Linked DNA regions of Drosophila melanogaster. The protein of the gene in region 1 interacts with the protein of each later gene in a pairwise test. Each region holds a gene or a part of one and is shown in the gene's direction. Other genes may lie near its edges.

Region 1 (3,926 bases):
CCTTTTTTTAAATAAAATGTTTTCATTTCTGTATATCGCTGTATTCGCGATGCAAAAATATGTGACTGCCAAAAAATGTACTTGCAAAAATAATCGCTACCTATTGAGAAAATACAAAACTGTAAAAACGTTAAATTGATAATGGGAGGTTATCAAATGCACCTACAGATGTAGTAAACAAAAGTCAGCTGTTTTTGTTGCTCATAAGAAGACACAGTACTCAGATAGAGGAACAATGTTTATACTACGTTCTAGATCCCTTACAAACCTAAAATTCGTTAGATCTCCAAGCATATCTTGCCGTTACGTACAATATAACCAAGGTCAATCTCCGGAGCCAAAAATTCGCGAATACTTTTACTATATCGATCATGAGGGAATGGTGAGACTCTCAACTATGCATCTGTGCTTCAACTCGCATAACCCGTTTTGCAGCTCTTCCTGGACGATGCAAAGATGAAAAACTTCACCAGCTGCTTTAAGGAGAAGGATTTCCTCAAGTTCTTTTTCAACCGACTGCGGCTAAACAAAACGAGCAGATATGAAAGCGAATTTCCATACATTTCCCTCTGTGGCCGCGAAAGGAATTTTATTAGGTGCGATGACACACCTGTTGTGTTTACTGAACAGCTGAGGAAGGACGATACGGAGGTGCTCAGCTATGCACACGCGGGACAGGTCCTTACCCTGCCTTACGAACCCCACAAACTGTACATGGATCCGCGAAACGGAAGGGTCTATCATCCAGCTGCGCCACAGGTGGGCGGAATAGGCCTAGTCCGCTCCAAACTGGCCATCGAGCTCAGCCAGCACTTTGAGTTTCTCGCTGGCGAGGCTTCCCCCACACATTTCCAATGGAACGGAGAACGTTTAGAGTTGCAGAACGAGTGGGTTAACAATACTCAGCGATTTCCCATGAACGAGGATTGTAAATAATTGAATAACTTTAATCGTTTTAAAATTGAGACAACGATAGAATATAACTTACAGAATATATGTATATTGGTTTTACTCAATGCTAAGTGGCTTAAACTCGCCCTCCTTAACCCATGACAGACCAGTTGCATGTCCACCATTTGCTTGTTGCGCTGAAGGCTCCGTCAGCTTGCTTCTTCCGGCCTTGATGCGCTCCAGAACGGGCCCGTGCACGTCCTGCTGGAACTTCTCGAATACTATGTAGTGCGGATCTTCGGTGGGTGGGGTGTCAAATATATGCTCCTTGCTCTCCTTGATATTTTCCTGTACGCGAGCAACATACTCCTCCTTGTTATTCATCAGCAGCTCCGCAGCCTCGCTGTTTTTGAGCTTATCTACCTCAATGCCCCGAATACTGTCCAAGGGATCGGAGAAAATGACTTGCAGGTACTTTAAAAGCTGCCAAAGGTGATCCTCTCCACAGCGCCACTCCGGGAAGGCGTGGCTCACGTCCAAACTGTGGGTGTACGGGCACACATGGGGATGAATCACATCCTGCTGGAAAATTATGCTCTAAAGGGGACTTGTAGAGTTAAATACGTTTGCTCTATTGCCGATCCTACTCACCGGAAGACTTTTGTCGTCGGGAAAACGATCTGGGAGCAAAATTGTGAATCGAAAAACACTTTCCGCATACAAGCCCTGTCGGCCAAAGAAGACTCCAAACCACTCTATTAACAAAAGATAAAATTAGCTAAAGACTGCATACAGGTTGGCAGGTGGGTAGACTAACGCAAGGAGTTAGCATAGCTGGGTATCACATATATCCCACTCAACTTCTCCGACTCAATCATTTTGCTAAAACATAAGAAATTAAATAAGTTTAGTTTTACTCCACGTAGTTATCAGTGAACTCTGAAAACTCACTATTCGGCCAGAATTTTATACTCCTGCTGTATGGTTGTGATCAGCAACTTGTCATCTTTCTTATGCGCATCCAAATCGAGAGTCATTTTGTCCGGACAATAGAAAAATTAAACAAAAAACTAGTAACATAAACAAACGGACAATTTTGTTGCTTGTTGAACAGCTGATTGGTGAAGGGTTGCCACTCTTTCGTAAAACCTAAATGGCTCACTGTGTTTAGGAGCCCTGGTTATCGCACTAAAACAAAACAAAGCATGCGGCCTTCGAAATCCTGACAAAAATGACGACTACATTAGAAGAGCAGCTTTCAGACAAGTTGCAGATGATGGACGAGACCACGGATAAGGTCCAGGGGTCGTCGAAGCAGAAGGATGATAGCAGTATAGCCGCAAGTTCAGATGCCAAGACAGCGTCCCCTTCTTCGAGCGATAGTTCGACCAAAGTCGCCGCACCGGAGTCCGAATTTTACAATAAGGCACAAAAATATTGGTCTGAGGTACCGGCGACTGTTAACGGGATGCTCGGCGGCCTGGGCTACATTAGTGCCATAGATATACAGGGATCGAATGTGTTCCTGCGCGAGATCCGCGTGCCGGGCAACAGGTTGGCCCTCGACTGCGGAGCTGGCATTGGTCGGGTGACTCGGAATCTCCTGATCCCCCGCTTCAGCTGCGTGGATCTTGTCGAGCAGGATCCCGCGTTTGCCGATAAAGCACGGGAGTACTGCACTTCGGAAGACGGAAGCCGTGGAAAGGTGGGACAGATCTATAACGTGGGATTGCAGAAGTTTACGCCTACGCAACAGTACGACCTCGTTTGGACCCAGTGGGTCCTGGGCCATCTCACGGACCGCGATCTGGTCTCGTTCTTTCGACGCATAAAGCAGGGACTGGCGCCCGGCGCCTTCTTGTGTCTGAAGGAGAACGTGAGCAGCTCGAAGAAGACAGTGGAAGATAGGAACGACTCGTCGGTAACGAGGCCTCTGGACAGCTATGAACACTTCCTAAAGGAAGCCGGATTTCGCATTGTACGCAAGGTCAAGCAACAAAACTTTCCCAAGGGACTCTTTCCAGTGTACATGATAGCCTGCAAACCCGTCTCCAAGGAATAGGTTTAGTATTTAGTTAGTTTTACTGTTGACCTACAAGCGATTGTACTAAAGTTATCCGAAAAATTTAATGTCACATTACTAGCTAGTCACTTCAAATTGTAGCGTTCTAATCAACGAATAAACAAGCTTACAAAAGCTTGAACACGTTCCTTAATTGATGCCTTCAAAGTGCTTTATTCACGGGATATAAACAAGAAAAACACAATTATTACTAAATTATGTTTACACAAAAATAATATTTTTATCAACCACGCGACCTCGCAATAGTATAGAATGCCAACAAATTCGTTAGTAGTAGAAAAATCTGCTTCCTTAAGTCCCCATTTGCCAATTTTAAATTAATTCTCATAGTGCTATTAGCAATTCTCTTTTCTCAATTCAAATGGATTTCCTTATCTCCATAAATGTTAGTCTTGAAGATCTGGCGACAGCGGATTGATCATAAGCTCAATCTTTTGCCTGGAAACAAGATTACTTGAAAAGTTTTTTAGGTATATAATTACGTCAAAAAGAAAATTACAATTAAAATATATAATTACGTCAAAAATAAAATTCAAATAAAGGGAGAATTTGGGGCATAACAAATATTTTCAGAAGGATATTAAAAATCCTAAGGACAAAACTTAAACATGCAAAAGTTGATAAAAAGTTTGTAAATGAGTTTCTTTATTATTATTACTATTTTTGCATTTAGGAATTAAGAGCCATATTCAGTTCTTTTCCAAATTTTTACGTTGGGTTCAGAAACTATTTTTAAAAGCATACTTTTAAAGAGGCTGCAAACTAAGCATATGTCTGCATTCGTTGAGTTGATATTTCAAACTGCATTTTTATTTCATTGTTCAAGCTTATATAGCTAAAATGAAATTCACATGTTCTAATATTATAAATGGCTTAGACCAACGTAGTGGTGGTCCTCACCATGAGAAAAGATGTGAGTTTCCACTTTTCTATATGCTATAAGAACGTATCT
Region 2 (3,833 bases), on another chromosome or scaffold:
CGCGGGTCAAGCGGAACCGTTGCGCCAAAAGGCAACCAAGGATGGCTGCAAAACAATTAAAAGCACGCAGCGCACCTTCCAGCGTCTAATTACAAATTGGAGTCATTGAATTTATTAAAATCGGCCGCGTAAATTGTGCAGCAATGCACTTGAGACACGCAAACTGATATTGTGGGCCATCGCCGGTTGGCGCTTCTTGGCTCTCATTACTCGGTCATAACTCACTGCGCCTGTCCGGTTGGTTCAAGTATCCCTAGCCACTTGAAAACCCATAAAGCCAAGTCGGCTTCCTCTTGCAGAAACATAATTGCTCGACTTCTGTTCAGCAAACTCCTTTTTTATGAAGATCTAAAGCGGTTTGTATACATACTCCGTTGGAAGTAAGTACTTCTAGTTACTAGAATATAGTTAGCACCAAGCGTTAACCTTTCGCGGCCCTTCATGCCTACTTAAATATGCAATACAAGTTACAGCTGTACATATGTATGTATATTAACCTTAAACTAGATCCATAATTCTGGATGGATGGTCAGTGCAATTTTTTGAAAAAGCCAAAATGAAGACACATCCCATTCATTGCCTAAATATGGAAATGAATTGTAAATAATTTATGTATGTTTCGATAACATTACTCCTGATACATTTTAGTAAAAGGTCCTTAGTAAAGACATTTAGTTAAAATTGGTTGGCTTGATGAAAATCGATATAAATATTTAGCTCAGAAATTGCGTGCATAAAAAAGTATTCAAAGGATATAAGTTATTTACCAGTTACCTCATAAGTGAGGAATAATTGTTTAAGCTGCCTGAAAAACCTAACACAAATTTTTTAAATAAAGAAAAATAAAAGCCTTTTAGAAATAACATGCCAAAAGTATGCAATGCATATCCAGGAAATCTAGTGATCCACCATCCACCAGTCAATCTAATGACACTATGGGAAACATTTCTTCGTAGATTTGCGGTTTTAATAGATAAAAATATACCAATACATTAACATATTTCACTTAAGGATACAGAATGAAACTCTTTGATAGTGACCATGAAGGGATTAAGAATGCGGCAATAGTTCCTCGTTTACGTAGCAACAGGAGCCGGAGCAGCTCCCTCCGGTTCGGCAGCCTTTTCTCCGTTGCCGTTCTGCGCCTTGGCTGCCGGCAGATCCTTGACTCCGGTGGAACCGAATCCTGCCTCGCCGCGCTCGGTGTCCTCCAGTTTGTCCACCATCACCAGTTGCGGATAGAAGATACGCTCGCAAATGAACTGGGCGATGCGGTCGCCATGCTTCACCTCGAAATCAACATCTGAGTGATTGAACAGGACGACGCCGAGATTGCCGCGATAATCCTCGTCCACCACACCGGCGCCCACATCAATGAAGTTCTTCACCGCCAGCCCGGATCGTGGGGCTACGCGTCCGTAGGAGCCCTCCGGAACCTGCACTTGCAGATCGGTCTTGACAATGGCCTTTCCGCGTGCCGGCACCACAACGTCGTAGGCGCTGCGCAGGTCAACTCCCGCCGCTTTGGCGGATCCCCTCACCGGCTCCAAAGCATTCTCGGTGAGTTTGGCGAATCGCAGGACGCACGTGTCGATCTTCATCTTCTTGGCAGCTGGAATGTCGGCGAAATCGGTTGATGGCATTTGGAGCAAATTGAGTTATTACAGGAATGCTTCGAAAGTACAGAGACTTTTTTCAGCTTACTTGCAGAATTCTGGTCTGAAAATAACGCGGTTTAACACAGCGTCGGAAAATTGGCGGACTTCCAGTGTTGCAAGATACCAAAAGTACAAATCGCCGAAAATCTACCAAAAAATCTTAAGTCAGCTTTGCATTTCTAAAAAACATATATACAACTATGCCTTGAGTTTAATTAAACAAATAATAAATAAAACAATAATTTAGGCATTAATAAATAAATCAAATTGATTTTATTAAGTAAAACGACCAATCACAACCAACCCTGATAAGCAACCCTATCGATATATCGATACTATTGTAGTTGATTAACACACCTCTATTTAGCACGTTGTTTTGAAAAATTCACTTGATGCGTTAATGTTAATGTGTTGATAACTGCAACTTTAAATCATGGCGAACACTTATTTCGATGAGTATGAAAACTTGGAGGTAAATAAGATTATAGATCTTCTTGTGAAACTGTACTCATAGTGACCAAACTACAGATCCACGAGCTCATGCTGAAGGATCGTCCTCGGCAAGAAGCCTACTACAATGCGATATTGGGGAATAAGGATCTGTTCAAGGACAAGATCGTAATGGATGTTGGTGCCGGCACAGGGATTCTGTCCGCCTTTTGTGCGAAAGCAGGAGCCCGTTTGGTCTACGCCGTAGAAGCATCCAATGTGGCCACCAAAGTTGCGCTGGATTTGATTGAGGATAACGGCCTGACGAACGTGGTGAAGGTGATCCAGTCGCGTGTTGAGGAATTCGTACTGCCTGCCGAGGCGGAAAAGGTGGACATCATTGTGTCCGAGTGGATGGGCTTCTACCTGCTGCACGAGGGCATGTTGGACTCGGTTCTCCTGGCCCGGGACAAGTTCCTCAAGGAGGGTGGACTCCTGTTCCCCAGCGAGTGCACAATTTTCGTGGCACCCTGCTCGGTACCATCGCTCTTCGATGATTGGCACAACGTGGACGGCATCAAAATGGACACGTTTGCCAGAAAACTCAGAACCCAAAAGTCATCCCGACCGGAGATTACACAGCTGAATCCGCAAGATCTTCTGCACGAGGGCGTCGTCTTTCACTGGATGAATCTGCTGGATGTGGAAGCCAGCGATTTGGACAGCATTCAGTTCAAGGAGGTAATAACAGCCCAGAAGGCGGGCAATCACCAGGGCTTCTGCATTTGGTTCGATGTACAGTTTCCTGGCGAAGATTTTGTTCTAAGCACATCGCCGCTATCCCCGCCAACGCATTGGAAGCAGTGTGTAGTCGTCCTGCCCGAGGAATCCTGCGAAAATCTGGAGGAGAAGTCACCCATTGCATTTCAAATCACAATGAAGCGCAGTGCTGCCGATATGCGTAAATACAATCTGGAGGTGGATTTGCTAGACCCCAACACAGAGGAGCATCCAGTGCCTTGCTCCTGTCACATGACGAAGTGCATTCTGACGGAAGCTCATCTAAAAATGATGGACACCTCATGAGTTACATGCCATCTCGGAATCCGAACAACGATCTGTGGGGAAATCAATTTATTTAACATGTTTAATACAAATACAATATATATCTCAGTCAAACTTAACGTCTAGTCCAGCACTTTCAAAAATTTAATTAAAATAACGCAGGCCGACGGCTTTAAATCAACAACCGCTGCAGCTGACTCTGAAGTTCCTTGAGTGAATGTTGAAGACGATTAGTGTCGGGCTTTTGGTAGCAAATATTCAGGCAGCCGGCCACTATGTCTTGAGCCTTGCCAACAATTCGTCGTCTGCAAGTTAAATGTGAATGTAAGTAAATCGTATCGGCTAGCATTTTACTTTTGCACTTACTTTGACCGGTACCAAATAGATTGTGCGTTGTCTGCCAGAAGCGAGACCACTCGTATGACGGATTGTATTAAATGCCACTCATTACCCTCGTTGGCCCACACTCGTTCGTTCATTGAAATCATTCTGAAAGTTTTTAAAAGTTTAGCCTTTAAACAATTTTATCTCTGCGAAAACCCTTCAATACGTACCTCGAATAGTATTCCAGGAGCAGTTCAATGTCCAAATTCATACTCACCAGTTTTTCCGGCACTATGCCCTCGGGAAATCGCAGTTGGCAGGCTTTAACTTCCAGTTCCCTTATGAGAAAGGCAAAGG

Evidence for each region.
Region 2: the proteins of Ntmt (region 1) and Art8 interact in a two-hybrid assay, tested with the Drosophila melanogaster proteins (2 studies listed by BioGRID).

What each region holds. Positions count from the first base shown.
Region 1 is NT_033778.4:9,863,582-9,867,507, forward strand, and holds Ntmt (N-terminal methyltransferase), read left to right. Parts: upstream 1-2,050; 5' UTR 2,051-2,122; coding exon 2,123-2,953; 3' UTR 2,954-3,470; downstream 3,471-3,926. Other genes in the region: CG30010 (uncharacterized protein), read left to right, coding at 236-382, 436-936; peo (pendolino), read right to left, coding at 1,009-1,488, 1,543-1,646, 1,709-1,773, 1,843-1,928. UniProt on the Drosophila melanogaster protein: Alpha-N-methyltransferase that methylates the N-terminus of target proteins containing the N-terminal motif [Ala/Pro/Ser]-Pro-Lys when the initiator Met is cleaved.
Region 2 is NT_033779.5:11,009,251-11,013,083, reverse strand, and holds Art8 (arginine methyltransferase 8), read left to right. Parts: upstream 1-1,997; 5' UTR 1,998-2,091; coding exon 2,092-2,130; intron 2,131-2,162; exon of another isoform or gene 2,163-2,186; coding exon 2,187-3,173; 3' UTR 3,174-3,263; downstream 3,264-3,833. Other genes in the region: dUTPase (deoxyuridine triphosphatase), read right to left, coding at 1,077-1,643; Nup154 (nucleoporin 154kD), read right to left, coding at 3,325-3,457, 3,519-3,641, 3,707-3,833.